4 linked regions of the Cricetulus griseus genome follow. The protein of the gene in region 3 interacts with the protein of the main gene of each other region in a pairwise test. Links are inferred from orthologs where the notes say so. Each region holds a gene or a part of one and is shown on either strand. Other genes may lie near its edges.

The links.
Region 1: the proteins of Znf24 (region 3) and Dzip3 interact in binary tests that used the Homo sapiens proteins (3 or more experiments, as listed by UniProt). The link is inferred for Cricetulus griseus from reciprocal best matches to the Homo sapiens genes ZNF24 and DZIP3.
Region 2: the proteins of Znf24 (region 3) and Ccdc130 interact in binary tests that used the Homo sapiens proteins (3 or more experiments, as listed by UniProt). The two-hybrid records come from large-scale screens. The link is inferred for Cricetulus griseus from reciprocal best matches to the Homo sapiens genes ZNF24 and YJU2B.
Region 4: the proteins of Znf24 (region 3) and Znf446 interact in binary tests that used the Homo sapiens proteins (3 or more experiments, as listed by UniProt). The link is inferred for Cricetulus griseus from reciprocal best matches to the Homo sapiens genes ZNF24 and ZNF446.

The regions. Positions count from the first base shown.
Region 1 is NC_048597.1:42,076,719-42,080,934, reverse strand, and holds the start of Dzip3 (E3 ubiquitin-protein ligase DZIP3), read right to left. Parts: upstream 2,801-4,216; 5' UTR 2,508-2,800; intron 1-2,507. Other genes in the region: protein CIP2A, read left to right, coding at 2,975-3,076. UniProt on the Homo sapiens protein: E3 Ubiquitin ligase proteins mediate ubiquitination and subsequent proteasomal degradation of target proteins.
Region 2 is NC_048596.1:160,144,661-160,148,718, reverse strand, and holds the start of Ccdc130 (coiled-coil domain-containing protein 130), read right to left. Parts: upstream 2,801-4,058; 5' UTR 2,677-2,800; intron 1-2,676. UniProt on the Homo sapiens protein: May be involved in mRNA splicing.
Region 3 is NC_048595.1:213,152,927-213,157,045, reverse strand, and holds the start of Znf24 (zinc finger protein 24), read right to left. Parts: upstream 2,801-4,119; 5' UTR 2,671-2,800; intron 2,538-2,670; exon of another isoform or gene 2,403-2,537; intron 2,305-2,402; exon of another isoform or gene 2,155-2,304; intron 2,149-2,154; exon of another isoform or gene 2,008-2,148; intron 1-2,007. UniProt on the Homo sapiens protein: Transcription factor required for myelination of differentiated oligodendrocytes. Required for the conversion of oligodendrocytes from the premyelinating to the myelinating state.
Region 4 is NC_048602.1:25,556,328-25,560,439, forward strand, and holds the start of Znf446 (zinc finger protein 446), read left to right. Parts: upstream 1-1,312; 5' UTR 1,313-1,630; intron 1,631-1,815; exon of another isoform or gene 1,816-1,964; intron 1,965-1,971; exon of another isoform or gene 1,972-2,279; intron 2,280-2,410; 5' UTR 2,411-2,450; coding exon 2,451-2,792; intron 2,793-2,866; coding exon 2,867-3,071; intron 3,072-3,350; coding exon 3,351-3,445; intron 3,446-4,112. UniProt on the Homo sapiens protein: May be involved in transcriptional regulation.

The sequences.
Region 1 (4,216 bases), on a different chromosome or scaffold from region 3:
TGGAGAGACTATCTAGACAAAATTTAAACCACAGACAGTAATAAAAGCTTACAAGGAGGGAAGATTTTATGCTAATCCTTAAAGAATGAGTGAACTGGACTCATCTAAAATAACATAGTAGTAATAACAATCTACTTTTCCCAGTAGCACTTAACACAGCTCGCCCAGACTTTAACTTTTCCTGACTAGTTTTTATGTCAACCTGACACAAAACCAATATTTAACCAAAATCCCAAATGAGAAAATAGGAAAAGTATTGAAAATTCTAACTTAAAAACATAAGGTATGGAATCCTGAGTAAAATTAAGTCTTTTTGTTACTGCTTTTGTGACCTTCACAAATTACCAGATGTTATACTTTGTAATCTATAAAATGGTGGTCATCTCAATAACTGCACTGTTATGAAGATTAAATAGTCCTTAAAAAATCCTTTGATGGATGCCAACTACTCAAAAAAGCAGCATAATTCACTGTATTACTTTAAAAGGGAACCAAATGTATAAATGTGAACGTCTGGAGATTTTAAACAGGGTTTTAAAAAACAAAGGAGATAAAAGAGCAATGTCCTAAACAAAAACAACTATAAACAGTGGATTATAGTGTTGAAAAATCTTTCCTGTCACCATGTCCCATGTTGTAGAGATTATATTAATGCAATAAACTGAGACAGTATACAGGAAGAAATTATTTTAATAGACTATATATATGTAGGAAATCTGAGATACACTAAACTTTTGTACTTAACAAAATTTTGGTTAAGTAGCTGACTTAAGATACACCAAAACCCAGTACACCTTTATTTTAGAGTAACAAAAATTCACGAGAAAATTTGTTACGTAATAAGTATTATAATACATAGGAATACACTTAATTAGAAAAGTACACAACTCACAAAATACATAAAATTTCACTGAATCTAAAAGATTATCTATACTTTCTTAATCGCACAATCTAGAAACTTGGAATTTCTTCTAGATTGTAAAGATGGCACTTGATGTAGGCAGCTTGGGGCCTTTCCTATTTGTCAAAACAGGGATGATGCTCGACACTTGTCATTATATGTGAAAAGTCTTACAGTATATTCTTACAACTCCATTTACCAATGACTGTACTTACCACAGAAGACATAATTTTATTAGTCAACAACTTGCTCTTCACATCGATTAACTGATTTGGCAATAGTCTCCAAGACCATTATATGACCTGCTTTTTTTTCCATCACTACTCCTTTCAGGATTCCTGTATGGCCACTACTAGCTCAGGCTCTTCCTGGCACCCTGCCATACTCCCTCTTGACTTTTGTCCACCTCATTCCAACTAATAGGCAGCATTTTCTCCTACAAAGTATGGTTGACTTCTCAAACATTGAAAGTATTTCCTCCAATGTTGTCTTTTTGTCTTGTTGTTTGTTGTTTTAAGCGAGGTCTATTCTGACTCTTCTTTTCCTGTCCTGATTATCATTATTCTAGAGTATTTTTTTCTCTTATCGTATTACGTTTTTATTACCAGAATGTTAAATCTGATGCTCATAGACTGATCCTCTAGTGACCAGAGCAGTGCCCATCCCAAAGCAGAAGCTCAAATAACTGTTTATTGAACAATCACGTGAAACAAGACACTCTCAGGTATCACTTTAGAAAAAGACTGGAGCAGTGAAAAAGCAGCCACAAAGAGAAAAAAGTGCAAACCAAGTTTAGAAGTCAACTGGCTCCACTCTCTCTATTCACGGTGCACTTCTTACTTATGTAGTGAATTCCAAGAGTACTTTTCTATTTAGACTCTTCCCCTATTCCCCTAATTTAATTAGATGGTGGCTTCTCGGCAGCCAACACCTCCTCGTCTTTGTTCAGGGTGGCAATCCCTAGTCCCTCATACGCATTTGTTTAAAACGGAATGAATGAACAGATGCATCAATGGGCACATTATCTACAAATTCTTCCGTGAATAACAACAGCACGATCATTTTTGGTCATCAGTTACATTTACTTTTATGTTTCAATAAAAGAATAAATCAAGTCTTTCAAAAGCAGCAACGCAAAAAAAAGTTTCCCGAATTCACAAACATTTCAACCCAAATGTCTTAGTCAAATGGGCAAGGACTCTCTTGTACGACCTAGCTTAGTTAACCCAAAAGCTTTTGAACTAACCCAGTCGCGGGCTCACTTCTTTAACACATCCATGCACACCACCTCTCATACAAAAAAAAAAAAAAAATCTCAACAATGCCATTTTTTGTTTGTTTGTAGCCACTTTAGTATACAAACTAACCAACCGTGCGGGGCAGGAACAGACACCTTCGCCTACACCCGTCACCGCAGACGAGGACACTGAGCTCAGGAGGGGGTGTGACAAATTCTAGGGTAAGGCCCCGGCTAACTTGCCACGGAATAGCGACTGCCACAGGTTCGGCCGTCTCTGGATACCGGGGACCGATGCTGGAGGGCCCGAGGCCGCTCCGGCGCCGCTTCCCAGCCTAAGTCACAGAGACACAGCCCGGGGTTCCTCACCGTGCTAGACTAGGGGGAGCGCCCGCGTCTGGAGCCGAGGCTGACGCCCGCACCAACACCAGGCCCCGCGGCGAGCGCCAACGCCGAGGACGCCCGCCGAACCCGAGCCACGCCGCGCACCGACCCCCGGGCTCCGCGCAGCCCCGCCACCGGTTGAGCCACAGTCGCGCGTCTCGCGAGATCCCGCGTCTTCGCGGACCTCCAGCTGAAACCTCGCGGGCCCTGGGCTGAAGGGGACCGCTGCGGGGTTCCCCGCCACCTCCCCGCTCCCGCAGAGCCGCGACCCTCCGCCCACCCCGTCAATCACAGGCCTCAGTCCCCCGGGCCTCCCGGAGACTTCCGGAGGCCGACCGGAACCGGAAGCGTCTAGGGTAGGAGGGGCGGGGCCTAAAAATCAAAAAAAGCGCGGCCTCAGCTGAAGGCTGCGGGGCTGCTGGTTGTGGCCGCTGACAGCACGGCGCCTCGGGATGGACTCCACCGCCTGCTTGAAGTCCTTGCTCCTGAGCATCAGCCAGTACAAGGCCGTGAAGTCGGAGGCCAACGCCACTCAGCTCCTGAGGCACTTGGAGGTAAGGGTTTTCCGGCGCCGGTCGGGGCTCCCTTCGGGATTTCTGTGTGCCTGTCGCTGCTCGCACGGCCCGGCCCGGCCCGGCCTGGCCCGGGACCTCCCTGCAGCCCCTTGGCTGTCCTTGCACTGGTGACGTGTTCCGGTGGTCCAAGAGGGGGACTGCCCGGGTCCCGACGATCTCCGAGACGGAGAGGGGAGGGGATGCTGTGAGATAAACCGGTTTGGACTCTGTTTCTGGCTGGAATGCTGAGGCTGCATTTTCTTTCCCACAGCTTTGAGTGTGAGTGTGTGTGGTGATTTGGTCTTTCTTTTAGGTGCCTATCTTCTAAGTGCATTTTGTCTTCTTTGTCGAATATCGAGTGGCTTCTTTCACCCAGGATATATAACCAGGGAAATTCATTCAGGTTGCACGTACGTTATGTGTAATTCCATTTATCTAAGTGCACCGCAGGCTATGTATATTTACCTCTTAATAGACATCTGGGTTTTACCCAGGTCTGGATAGGATTATGAACAAGTGCATTCCAATCATACATTTTTTTAATGCATTTGTTTCTTATACACCTACTGATAGTATCAGGTTACAAGAAAGGCCTGTGTTTCCCTTTTTGTTATTTTAATTTCTTTAAGTTTAATTGTGTGTGTGTGTGTGTGTGTGTGTGTGTGTGTGTGTGTGTGATACCTGTGCACATGAGTGCAAGACCCTCAGAAGGCAGAAGAGGGCATTATATCACCTGGAGCTTGATGTGGGCGCTGGGACTCAAACTGGGGTCCTCTGCAAAAAATAGTACATTCTTCTATCTACTGAGCCATCCAGTCCACATCCACTTTTATTTTGTATTGCTAAAAACAGTTTTCAAAAGATTATAGCACTAGTAATATATCAACACTGCCATCAGTCATTCAACCATCCCATCCTTAGTTCTTAGTATTTACCTTTTTGAGGGCAATATTATCTTTTTAATGGTCGATATCATACAGAGCACTGAAAGTTGATCCTGAGGGTACACAAGTATATGTGAAAAGAAAATAGTTTTTTTTTTCTTTCATTTTTCTAAACTTCTGCTGCCATAGATTGACTTTATAACACCACACAAAACCTGTGCTTTGAGTCATTTCATGATTGTCAGGGCCAAGTTAA
Region 2 (4,058 bases), on a different chromosome or scaffold from region 3:
CTGAGCCACCATACTGACCCCAATTTTATTTTTATTGGTAGGTTTTTATTACATGTAAGTGTAACCTGTCTTCTGATATTCTAAATGATTTGTACTTTATCTTAACCAAAAGGCTGAACTGTAGTCCCCCAGCCACTTAAAACTTGAAAACTGGGGCCAACATTATGGAAGGAGAGAACAGACTTGATCTCCATGTGTACCAAGACATATACCCACACACCGGAATACATACAAAATAAATACATAAAATATAAAAAAGGTTTTCTTTCTTGTTTTGTTTTTTCAAGATAGGGTTTCTCTGGGTAAGAGCTCTGGCTGTTCTGGAACTTGCTTTGTAGACCACACTGGTCTCAAACTCATGCCTGCCTCTGCTTCCTGCTGGGATCAAAGGTATGAGTCACCACTTGAGCATTTTTTTTTTTTTTTGAGACAGGGTTTCCCTGTGTAGCTTTGGAGCCTATCCAGGCTGGCCTCGAACTCACAGAGATCCTCCTGCCTCGGTGCCCCCTCTCCCCCGCAGTGCTAGGATTAAAGGCCTATGCCACCAACACCCGGCTGGCTTGAGCATTTAACAAAACATTTATTTTTAAATTGTGTGTGTGTGTTTGGGCTAGGTGGTGGAGGCACACGCCTTTAACCCCAGCATTCAGGAGGCAGAGGCAGGTGGATCTCTGTGAGTTTGAGACCAGCCAGGTCTACAGAGTTAGTTCCAGGACAGCCTGCAAAGCCAGAGAAACCCTGTCAAAAAAAAAAAAAAAAAAAAAAAAAAAAAAAAGGAAATAAAAAATTTGTGTTTGTATGTGTGTGGTGTATGTGCAACACACCCATAGAGTCTAGGAGAAGATGTCAGATTCCTTGGACCTGGAGTTACAGGCAGCAGTGAGTCACCTGACATGGGTTCTGGAAACTGAACTCAACCTTAAGAAAAGCAGTATGTCTCTTTACTGGCCAAGCCCTCTTTCCACCCTAAGTTAAAACAAAACAAAACATAAAACTGTGTGTGTGTGTGTGTGTGTGTGTGTGTGTGTGTGTGTGTGTGTGTGTATGTGTACAGGTAAGAATGTGTCACAGTGTACGTAGGTCAGAGGACAACTTGGAGGAGTCAGTTCCCTACTTCCAACATGTGGGTCCAGAGATGGAACAGTTTGTCAGGCTTGGTGGCAGGTGTCCTCACCTACTGAGCCATCTCACTGCCCTCTCACCCAAATACTTTTGATGACCAAGTACTTAAGTGCCCACCCAGGTTTGGGGTTACAGCTGCTTTGGTCTCTGACTTTCCTGGAGCTCCCACTTCTTCACCTGTCAGGAGGGAATAAGGTGTAGGGTGTGATTGGTCTTGCACTCAGGGGGCAGAACCCAGGTTAGACTGAATTCCAGGCCAATCTGCTCTACACAGCAAGTCCAGGTCAGCCAGAACTACACAGTGAGACCCTATCTCAAAATGCAAAAACAAAACAAAAAATGAAAATGGGGGGTACCAACAGAAGGGATGACTTTGGGGCTTGCTTTAAGTGTATGGGGGCTGCTTGTAGTATAGACATCCAGCTTGTGAATCGGTGTGGGCCTGGGGTCTGTTTTAGAATGTTTAACATAGGTTTGTTTTGGAGACACGCCCCTCTATGTAGTCCAGGCTGGCCCTGCACTCCAGATCCTCTAGTCTCAGCTTCGAAAGCTTTAAGATGGTTAATCACCATAGGGAGTACCACAGCCAGGTTACACAGGCTGCTCAGGTGGATGCACAGGGATGAGGTCATTCCTGACCTCACCTGCCTGAGCAAATGACAGCCTGAGCACTTCAGTCTCCTCTGCTGTTCCTAGCTGCCTGACTCCTGGCTGGCTGCGGTTGGGAGTCGTAGAGGTGTTAAGCATTAAGAAGAAAGATCATGGGACAAAGAACAATGGCGATTTCAGTTCTTCTACCTACTAACAATTTTAAAAATAATTATGTGTATGGGTGTGAGTTTATGCACCAGTGAGTGCAAGTGCTCAAGAGGCCAGAGGGTTGGATTCTATGGAGCTACAGGCAGGAGTGAGCTCTGGGAAACGAACTCTGCAATTAACGGTTAACAGCTTGTACGGCTCTTTTTTCTTTTCTTTTTTTTTTTGGGGGGGGGTTCGAGGCAGCGTTTCTCTGTGTAGCTTTGAGCCTGTCCTGACACTCGCTCTGGAGACCAGTTTGGCCTCGAACTCACAGGCTGGGCATTGGTGGCTCACGCCTTTAATCCCAGCACTCGGGAGGCAGAGGCAGGTGGATCTCCGTTAAGGAGCCTCTCCAGCCCCTTAAAAATTACGCGTGTGTGTGTGTGTGTGTGTTTGGGAAGCGTGTCACGAAGTGTGTGTAGGGCAGAGAACGTCCTACAAGAATCGACTCTTTACACTATGCTCGGGGGTCGAACCCACGTCGTCAGGCTTGGCTGCAAGCGCCACTGCCAGCTCGGCCACCTCGCCGGCCCTCAAGCTACAGTTCCTAAGCACCGTGTTCCACACTTGGGCTTGGAGGGCTCATCTTCCTCATGAAGACGGCTAGGGGAGCCTTTGACGTGAAACCGCTGCGGGGCCCTGGGAACCCGGGGGGGGGGGCGCAGGTCTCGCGTCTCCCGCGCCAGGCCGCAGGGGTGGGATTGAGGTCCTGCCACCCCCGTCGCCGCTGCGGACCGGTCCGCACCCCGTACCTACCTGCCCTCCTCCTGACGTCACGCCGCTACCAGCCCGGAAGCAAACCCGGCGCCGCGAACTCTCGGAGTGCCCATCTCCGCGGAGCAAAAGCGCCTGCGCGAGGCGGGGCGAGTCACTTTTCGTCATCTTGATTGGCTAAGATTATTATAGGTCTACGAATTCCGGAAGAGCTGGGACAGCCCCGCCCACCCCGAGGGGAGCTCAAGCTGAGACCGCTGCGTGGCCCCGCCCTCCCTCCCGGAAGTGCTAACTTGCCACCGCCCAGGCCGGGAGACTGCGTTTTCAAAAGAAGCTGATTCGTCATCCTAAAACTTTGATTAATTGATTTTTGAGACTTTTTTTTTTTTTTTTTTTTTTTTTTCCGGTAGCTCAGTTTGGCCAGGAACTCATTATTTTGCTGAGGATGACACTGAACTTCTGACTCGATTTGTGATCTCTAAGTAGTGGGATTACTCGTGTGCTGCACAGCACCGGGTTTTGTTTTAAAAAAAATTACATTTATGGCTCAGCGTAGTAACCAACAGCTTTAATCCCAGCTTTCTAGAGGGAGAGGCAGGTAGTCTGGTTTACACAATCAAAGGACAGTCGGGTACACAGTGAGACGCTCCAAAAAAAAAAAAAAAAAAAAAAAGTGTGGGTGAGTGCTGGGTTGCCGCGAAGGTGAAGTTGTCAGGCATGGAGCGTTAGAGGGATCCCCGTGGACTTCTGGGCATGCATGTGGGGCACATACATACATGCAGCCAAAATATCCATACAGGTAAAATAAGTAAGAAAGAAAGAAGAAAAAGGACTTTCATTCAATGTTTCCACTTTGGGAAGAGAGACAGATAGATTCAGGAGGAACCACCCAAGTCCTGAAGCGAGATCAAAGTTAAACAAAGGGACAAGGTTAAGCACCATGTAAGCAGTCCGGGTTAAGGTGTGGCTCCGCCCACCACTGACCCATCACTGGCTGGGCTTCAGGCTCAGTGGTCTGACAAATTCTTAGAACTGTGTGAAATTATTTTCCAGAAGAGAAGTTTCCCTTCTGGCTGGTGCCCTTTCCTTTGCCCAGCGAGTGATTCCCGGGAAAATCCCTATTTCTCTGGGGTTCATTATCTCCATAATCTGATAGATTGAGAGATATAGGAGTCTCTAGAATATCTTCATTTCTGCCAGACCTGTTAAAAATCAAAAGTCAGAAGCATGGGAGATTCTTGAAGTCCGCTTAGCTTTTATAAAAGGAGCCAGCTGCTGGGGGAGGGACTGACAAGCAGCTGTGAGAAGAGACACTCAGACCTGCTTTTGAGTCATCATAAGAAACCCTGATCCATTCTTCTGTTTGTAACCCTAGTAGAAATTCGTTAGCTTAACAGGTCAGACTTTGGTGCAGTCTTTACTTT
Region 3 (4,119 bases):
GCTGCCAATTACACTATCCATAGTGTAAAAATTTAAATGGCTAAAAAGCATAGAAACATTTCATGATAGGAAAATATGATGTATCAGTCTAGGGTCAACAGTCATTCAGCTGGCAAAGGTACCCTCGATCAAGCCTGATGACTTGAGTCTGATAACCAGCATGTACATAGGAGAGAACTTTACTTCTGCAAGGTGTTCTCTGGTCTCCACAAGTGTGGCATTGCACGTGCATGCCTACACACATACACAAAATGTAAAAATATTTTTAAAAATTGTAATGGTTTATTTTATGTGCATTGGTTTTTGCCTATAAGGGTGTCTGTGTGAGGGTGCTGGTACCCCTGGAACAAAGTTACAGACATTGGGAATGGCCATATGGGTGTTGAGAATTGAACTTGGGTCCTCTTGAAAAGCAGCCAGTGCTCTTAACTACTGAGCCATCTCTCCAGCCCCATAATATTTTTTAAATTTGTTGTTTATAAATCATTAAATTTAATCATGGTTCAGGCTATAAAGGTATCACTGATAGGGTTCAACAATTTCTGCTAAGATCTAAAACAACTTAGGATTTATTTACAACCTGGCCCTTTCCAGCGAAAGACTGTCAGTCTGTGACATATAGTAACAAAAGGCAATTAAATAGCCTAAAGAACCCATGTAAGAATCAACCTATCGAAGTGCTCTCCAAATGTTCTGAACCCTTGGGTTCTGCAAGTAAGAATGCTCGCTGTCCTTGCAGAGGACCCAGGTTTTATTCCCAGCACTACAAACACTCTTCTGACCTCCTTAGGCACCAGGAAGACACGTGGTATACACATACATAAAATAAGAAACTAAATATTCAGAACTGTGGGACTCAAAACTTTGACATTTATTTTGTGTTTATACATCTCCGCACAGGTGTGGGAGTCAGAGGACAAGATGCAGAAACTTGTTCCCTCCTCCTGCTTTGTGGAATCTGGGATCCAATACAGGTTGTCAGGCTTGGAGCAAGCCCCCTACCTAATGAGCTACCTAGCCCGCCCAACTTTTCATTTTGTTTTTGCAAGTCTGGAGTAGGAACCAGGTAAACTGCCTCCCCACCCCTGGGGTTAGAGACTGTATTCAAGGCCAATGCACACTCACGGGCATACACACACACACACACACACACACACACACACACACACACACACACACCACGCACGCACGCACGCACGCACGCGTGCGCGCACTGCTTTGAAGTTAAAAAAACAAAACTGAGGTGTTTAGGAACTTCCTAAACAAAATAAATGTGAAAAATGTTCACTAGTAGCTGGGTATGGTGTCCTAAACCTGTAATCCCAGTACCTAGGTAGAATAAGACTATCCTCATCTACATAGCAAAAACAACTGGGCTGTTAGATCTTGTCACAGATTCACTTTGACACAGTTCACATAACGCTGGAGAAGAAACTATTGCACATAACATGCAAATGTTATTTAGGCATCCACCACCATACATGCATTTAAACTTACTGTGACAGTTAATCAACTGCAGCAAATTCTATTAGGAAAAAGCACTCACAACTTCTCATAATGGCCCAGAGTCTTTTTCCTTAAGTAGCTTCCCCTAGCTTTTCCTTTGGGGAAATCTGTGAGCTACTTTCTGATCCTTTTAGTATTTGCAAAATCATACTGGTGCCATGGTTCACAGCACATTAAGAATAATAAGCTTAGCTAGGCGGTGATGGCACATGCCTTTAACCCCAGCACTTGGAAGGCAAAAGGCAAGCGGATCTCTGAGTTCGAAGCCAGCCTGGTCTACAGAGCCAGTACCAGGGCAGACAGGACTACACAGAGAAACCCTGTCTGGAAAAACAAAACAAAACAAATGAACGGAACAATACGCTTTACAGCTACTGTTTATTTATCAGAGCCAAGAATATTAAAAACACACACACACACAAAACACAGAAACTTAAGAAAATCTTATTGAAACCTGTCAAGAGGAAGACAATCAAAAAATACTGTATCAAACAGACAGACCATATAGATCCATAAATATTCTTGAGTGGGATGATGGCCTGCTAGCAAAATCCAGGTTATTTATTCCTATTCCTGGACCAGACCCTATCAACGGCTCAAGCATTTCTACGTAATAGAAATTGCTTTTTCTTCTATTTTGTACTGCACCAGGCTCATGAGACGAGGAGAAACGCCGTCAAGCACTTGGCGGGATCCTGGTCTTCAACGACCTCCCGCCTCACAGCGCCGAGCCCAGCCAGCCCCAGTAATCCCCGCTGATGTCCTCTTCCCAGCATCCACCGCGAAGGGCCGCAGAGGCCCCAGAACACCCGTCTCCACACAGGACGGGCACTTCCGCCCTAGACCGGCGGGACTACAAATCCCAGAAGGCCGTGCGCGAGAACCACGGATCCCACCTCGGTTTAAGCGACTCCCAGAACGCTCCGCGAGCGGACAGAGCCTCGAAATAGAACAAAACCGGTCGGTGGGGGAGGGGAGGACATATCGGCGAGGACGCGGGCGCGAGAGGCTCGGCGGACTCCCGAAGCGCGGCAGGCCGCCGTCGCCGCCCTTCCGCCGCGGCCTTCTCCGCGCACGCCCGAGACGCCGAACGACGCCGGGCCCTCGGCCGCCGCGCCCCGACCCGCGCCCCCTCCTCGAACCCTGCCCCCGCACGCCGCTGACCTCCGTCTCGGGACCCACCGCAGCCTCGCCGTCCCGGGCAGACGCTGCACCGTCGCTTACAGCCTCTTCCCACAAGCCCCCGGCGCGCACGGCTTCCGGTCCGCAGGACGGGGGGCGGGGGTGGGGGGCAGGCGAAGCCCCGAGTTGCCATGGGGACGCGCGGCAAGCGGGGGAGGTGCGGCTTGATGACAATGGCCGTATTGAAGCCGAGCTTGGCCTTGCGCCTCTGCCAGAGTGGGCGCTGAGCTCTGTTCCACTTCACAAAAAAGGAAAGGGGAGTTAGAGGAAGGTAGTTGGCAGTTTCACGAGTGTCCCGTGCTCCCCGTAGGAACCCTCTGGAGTAACTAACGAAAGTGAACATTTCTGAAAGCCTGTCACAGTCGTGCTAGGCACACACAGCCTCTGTGCTCTGCGTATAAATAATTCCCTTTACCCCCACATCCTATAGTGCAGGAACTTGTAGTCCCGCTTCAGGGCCGACATCTCATTATAAGTAGGAAGTCAGGTTTGCACTTAAACATGGCTCAGACTGTTGCCTCCCACTAGCTGTGTTAACAAAGATTATAACAAGTCATCAAACAAGATGAGGCTAGTTGAGAACTTTGGGAATTTGCACAATCTGAGCATACTGGGTATTTCATGTCAAAAAGCAGCTGCAGTCATAATCAGTCAGACCACCTCATTCCTCTAAAGTCCTCCGGTGCATTACAACTACCGGAACTATGACACTAAAAATTTGTTAAATTGTCCTGCAGTTCGTCTATGGTCTGTTGCCTGCTTTTTCCCTCTGGCTATGTCTCCAGCTTATTGTGGAGCCTCAGCCTCACTGACCAACCCTCTTTCAGGTGGTCTCCATATGCTTAGGGGCACTCTTAGAATTGTGCTTTGAAAGTCCAGTAAAGGTGGAGTCGTCTCTGTCCTCTCTGTCCTGGTTATGACAGTACCCCCACCTAGTTTCAGGATGCCAGCTGGCATATAGAAAACTCAATAAGTACAAAGTTTTCTTTGAATAAATGAATGAATTGTGGGCTGTCGACATTGCAGCCTTTGCTAGGTCACATGTCAAGTCTCAGAAATGGCACAAAAGAGCCCTGTTTTGGAAAGTTTTGTTGGAGCATAGGTCAAGCCTTGCAAAACATTGAAAAGGTCCTCAAGCTTTGCCTTATTGTCTCATTCAGGAAAGGGTCTCTGCAAGTGTCCAGAGCCTCTGTTGGGTCAGTGAATGAGCAGTAAACAAGCAGCTGACCAAACAGCAAGCCATTTCATTCCAGCCAGAGCTCACCTTCCCATAACCCCTGCTAACTCCTTTCTTCACTGGGAGGCTTTATCCAGCATTTCACTGTCCCATTTGGCCTCACCCAGGCTCCAGCTTGGCTACTCTCTTTTGTGACTCCTAAGAGCTCTTCACCCCTCCTCCGTCTTTCCTATGAGAAGTCCATCGGGCTCTTC
Region 4 (4,112 bases), on a different chromosome or scaffold from region 3:
CCTGAAGCACAGAGAAGGCTTGGGAGCCAGCTAACCTTGGACGGGAGCCCTAGAACAGAGATGCTTCCAGGGACAGCTGCTTCCAAGAGGACAGCTGCCTGGGAAGTCCCTTAAAGCCCAGCCTCTCCCCACTGGGTGGGTATGAGAGCTTTGTCCACAGAATCTATGAAAGACCTCATCTCCCAAGATAGTTCAGCTGGTAAACCCAGTTGACAAACTCTACCCGCACAACTGCTCAAGAGTTTCAGATGTGGAGAACTGCTGCTCACTGCTAGCTGCTGGCAGCCGAGGAGGGGGTTCTCAGGAATCAGAAAAAAAAACAAACAAACAAACAAAACAAAACAGAATAGACAGATCCGCTTCAGGACTGAATGATTCTATCATGGTTCAGACTCTTGGTATGTGGAAACAAAATTAACCTCATGTGCACATAAATTTAATAGCCCTTACTTGCTGTGTGTGGTGGTTCAGACCTTTAATCTCAGCAATCAGGAGGCAGAGGCTGCAGGATCTCTCGGTGAGCTCCAGGCCACCTGGGGACTTGAGACCCTACCCCCCCCAAACAAACAAATAAAAGCCATTAACTTTATTTTTTTAACAATTTAACTTTGTTTTTAAATGTGCGTTGGTGTGAAGGCATCAGATCCCCAGAACTGGAGTTACAGACAGTTGTGAGCTGCCATGTGGGTGCTGGGAATTGAACTCTGGTCCTCTGGAAGAGCAGCTAATGTTGTTAACCTCTGAGCCATCTCTCCAGCCCCTCACCTCACCCCATTAACTTTATTTTTAAAAAGCCTTTTTCCCAAAAGACTTTGGAGAGGGAAAAAAAAATGAGTAAGGGCCACCTTGTCTAACTGCAGCCTCCAAATTAAAAGTTGAGTGTGTCTCATAATCTCAGACAGAACCCTCCATCTCCATTTGCAGTAGTACCGCTATCTAAAGAGGGGGTGACCACATGGTCACCTCCTCTGAACGCCTGCTCGCCCACCCATGGGCCTATTTACTTAACGGACTATAACAAAGGCCATACTGGGTGTGCTCGCCCAACGCTGCCTCCCACCGGGATCCTCTGGAACTCGCACCTAGGTCTTCTCGGCCGGCCGCAAGGCCACGCTTACAGCGTTGCTTTGGCAACCGCAGAGGTGCGCTCGCTGTTACCTAGGAGACACACGGAGCGATGCTCCCTTCTCGTAGCTGAGCGCCCGGCTCTAATTGGGCAGAACGCCTCACCAGCCAATAGGAGCCAGGCGCGCTGCACACATGCGCAAGGAGGCTACGGTCCCGCAGCCCGGGTCCGCAGTGGGTGAGTCCTTCGGCTGGGGTGCCAAGGAAGAACGGGTCGCCAAGTCAGGAGAGGGAGCCCCGTCCACCACCACCACCCCCGGAACTCTGCGACACCGCGGGCTCCAAAGGAGAGGAACGGAACGAAGCCGCTGGCGCGCGAGGGGCCCGAGAAACGCGCGCTCCCCCTTGCTGAGGCTCACGGGAGATGTAGTCCGCGCGGAGGGGGCCGTGCCTGTGGGGCCGGTGCAGGATTGGCCAGGCCGGTAGTGAGTGGCGGTGGGGCGAGCGGTGTAGCCTCCCTTCCCGGAAGTGCCCCGAGCTCCTGGGGCGCCAGGAGGCGTCAGAGGTGAGCGAGCTGCTCGACTGGGCGGGCCCAGCTTCTCGTGGCTCCCCCCCCCCCCGAGCTCGAGGAGCGCCCCACTGCCCCCAGCCTTCGAACCCAGAACTCCGGGGGTCCCCTTCCTCCTGAAAGACCCTCCCTCTCCTTTGCTGTGTCAGAAACTGACACCCACCCCACCCCCAACTCTACAGGTGCCCCAGGAGAGCCGGTTTCAACCCAGAACCTCTTAAGGACTGGGACACAGGTTCCAGTTTACATGTCCACGTGATGCACGGCTGTCTGCTTTGGCTTCTGCTTGGGCGTTTCCTAGGCGTAGTGTGAGGCACCCACGGTTTTGTCGGTGAGCAGTGTCACCAAGCTCATATAGGCCCCTGGGAGTTGGCCCAGGCTTTCAGCACTGTCCCGGGTGATGTACCCAGACCCCAGAGCCAACTCTTCAGATAGACCAACACGATCTGCTTTCTGACTGAAGCCTCCAGGGCTCCAGGTCGCCCTGAAGGATGGTCCTACCTGTGCCCCCCTGATCCTTTGTCGGCTGGGGGAGCCACGGTAGTCCTCTGTTGGTAGTCCCAAAGGTTTGGGCCAGCCATGGAAGTTTCCTAGAAGGCCCTTGGACACCTTCCACCCAGGCATTTATCATCCATGCACCCTCCAGGTTGGGACCTGCACCTCCCGTTTCCTTCCTCGAAGCGCTCCTGGCCTTGGGGTTCTCTTTCCTGGCTTCTAGGAGGGGTCTGGTGTGTGCTTTTGGCCTTAGATGACACTCTGGTTCCTCCTTTCCTGTAGGTCCCTCCTGACAGCTCCAAAAAGACCCTTCAAAACAAGAATGCCAGCTCCTCTAGGTCCCCCACACCTCTCCCTCGGGGACTCCGAGACCACCATTGAGGAGCCTGAGGCTGCGCGACTCAGATTCCGGGGTTTCTGCTATGAGGAGGTAGAGGGGCCCCGAGAGGCCCTGTCCTGCCTTCGCGACTTGTGTCACCAATGGCTGCAACCTGAGTCATGCTCCAAAGAGCAGATGATAGAGTTGCTGGTTTTGGAGCAGTTCCTTGGCGTGTTGCCCCCTGAGATCCAGGCCTGGGTGCGAGGGCAGCGACCAGGAAGCCCTGAGGAGGCTGCAGCCCTGGTTGAGGGGCTGCAGCTTGATCCTGGGCAGCTGCTGGGCTGGGTGAGTGTAAATGGCATTAGCTGCTCAGGAGGACAGACTGAAGGTAGAGCCCCCCGTGACAGGCTTCTCTTCAGATCACAGCCCACATCCTGAAACCAAAGACGCTGCTTACAGTCCAGCGGACAAAGGAATCTTCCGGGAGCCGCAGCGTCTCAGTAGCAACGGAGTCCTCCGAGGCAGGCCCTTCGGAGGAAGTACCACAGGGTTCCAGCCTAGACAGATCTACCCAGATCCACTTGGTTGTGAAGGAGGAAGCCAGCGCCGATGGACAGGAGACGGGTAGGTGAGGGGTGACAACATCAGAATTTCAAATCTCTGTGTGTGGGTGTGGGGTGGGGGATGTGGTATCCTAGGAGGGGTTGTGTCGGGGGCTGGGACTCCTGAAATAAGTCTGCATGTCCCCAGCTGGGAGAGGGACCCTGGAGAGATTACAAAGGTGGATTCCTATGAAGCAACAAGACAAGACTGACCTCGCACCATGCCACATGGCAGAGGCAAGCCAAGGCCAATGCAGTCACCACAGCTTGATGCTCCTTCCCGTCTCCTTGTCTTTCTCAGTATCCCCAAGCCCCCTCCTTCCAGCCCAGGCCCCTGAGGGACATCTTGGACACCAGGAAGCAGCCTCCACATCCTCCCACCCAGGAAGGATCCAGGTAAGCAGCCTACAGCAGGAAAAGCAGGCCATGGGTGTATATGGGGTGTCTCTGTTGGTTGTATTCCCACCCTGTGGTTTGGTAGGGTCCTCTGCCAGTGACTCGTGTGTTTGTGCTTTTTGTTTTTACTATTCCTGAGTAGTAAATAACTTCCCTTCCAGCAGGTTCTAAGGGCTGAAGACTAGACTGGTAGGTCTCTCATTGGAAAAGATTTAGGCCTGGTCCAGAGTGGCTAGAGCTGGTGGCCATGGCTTCCTCACCCCAGAGAGGCTAGTTACTGGAAAGGCTTGTTATACCTTGAGGTCATGGGCCAGCTGTTATGTGTGCGGGCGGAGAGGAGACTGCCACGGCAGGGTTCCTGCATCCCTGAGAGCAAATCAAGACACTCTCCCTGAGTATGCCTCAAGTCCCTTCTACTGCCCTTGTCAAAGGACAGTGACCTGGAACCTTAGTTTAAAGCCCCTGCTACCTGAGCGTGCATAGTTGACGTGGAGGGGTAGGGATCCTATCCTCTTCAGGGTCTTTCTGTCCCTGGGCCCCTCCACTTGGGAGCCCCCTACCTCAATAGAGGGTCTAGTTAAGGTGTGCTTCAAGGTTAAGAAACCCCTCTAGGATGTCTCTCTGGTGCCCTCACTTCTGGTCAGCATCGCCTCTAGATTTAGCTGTC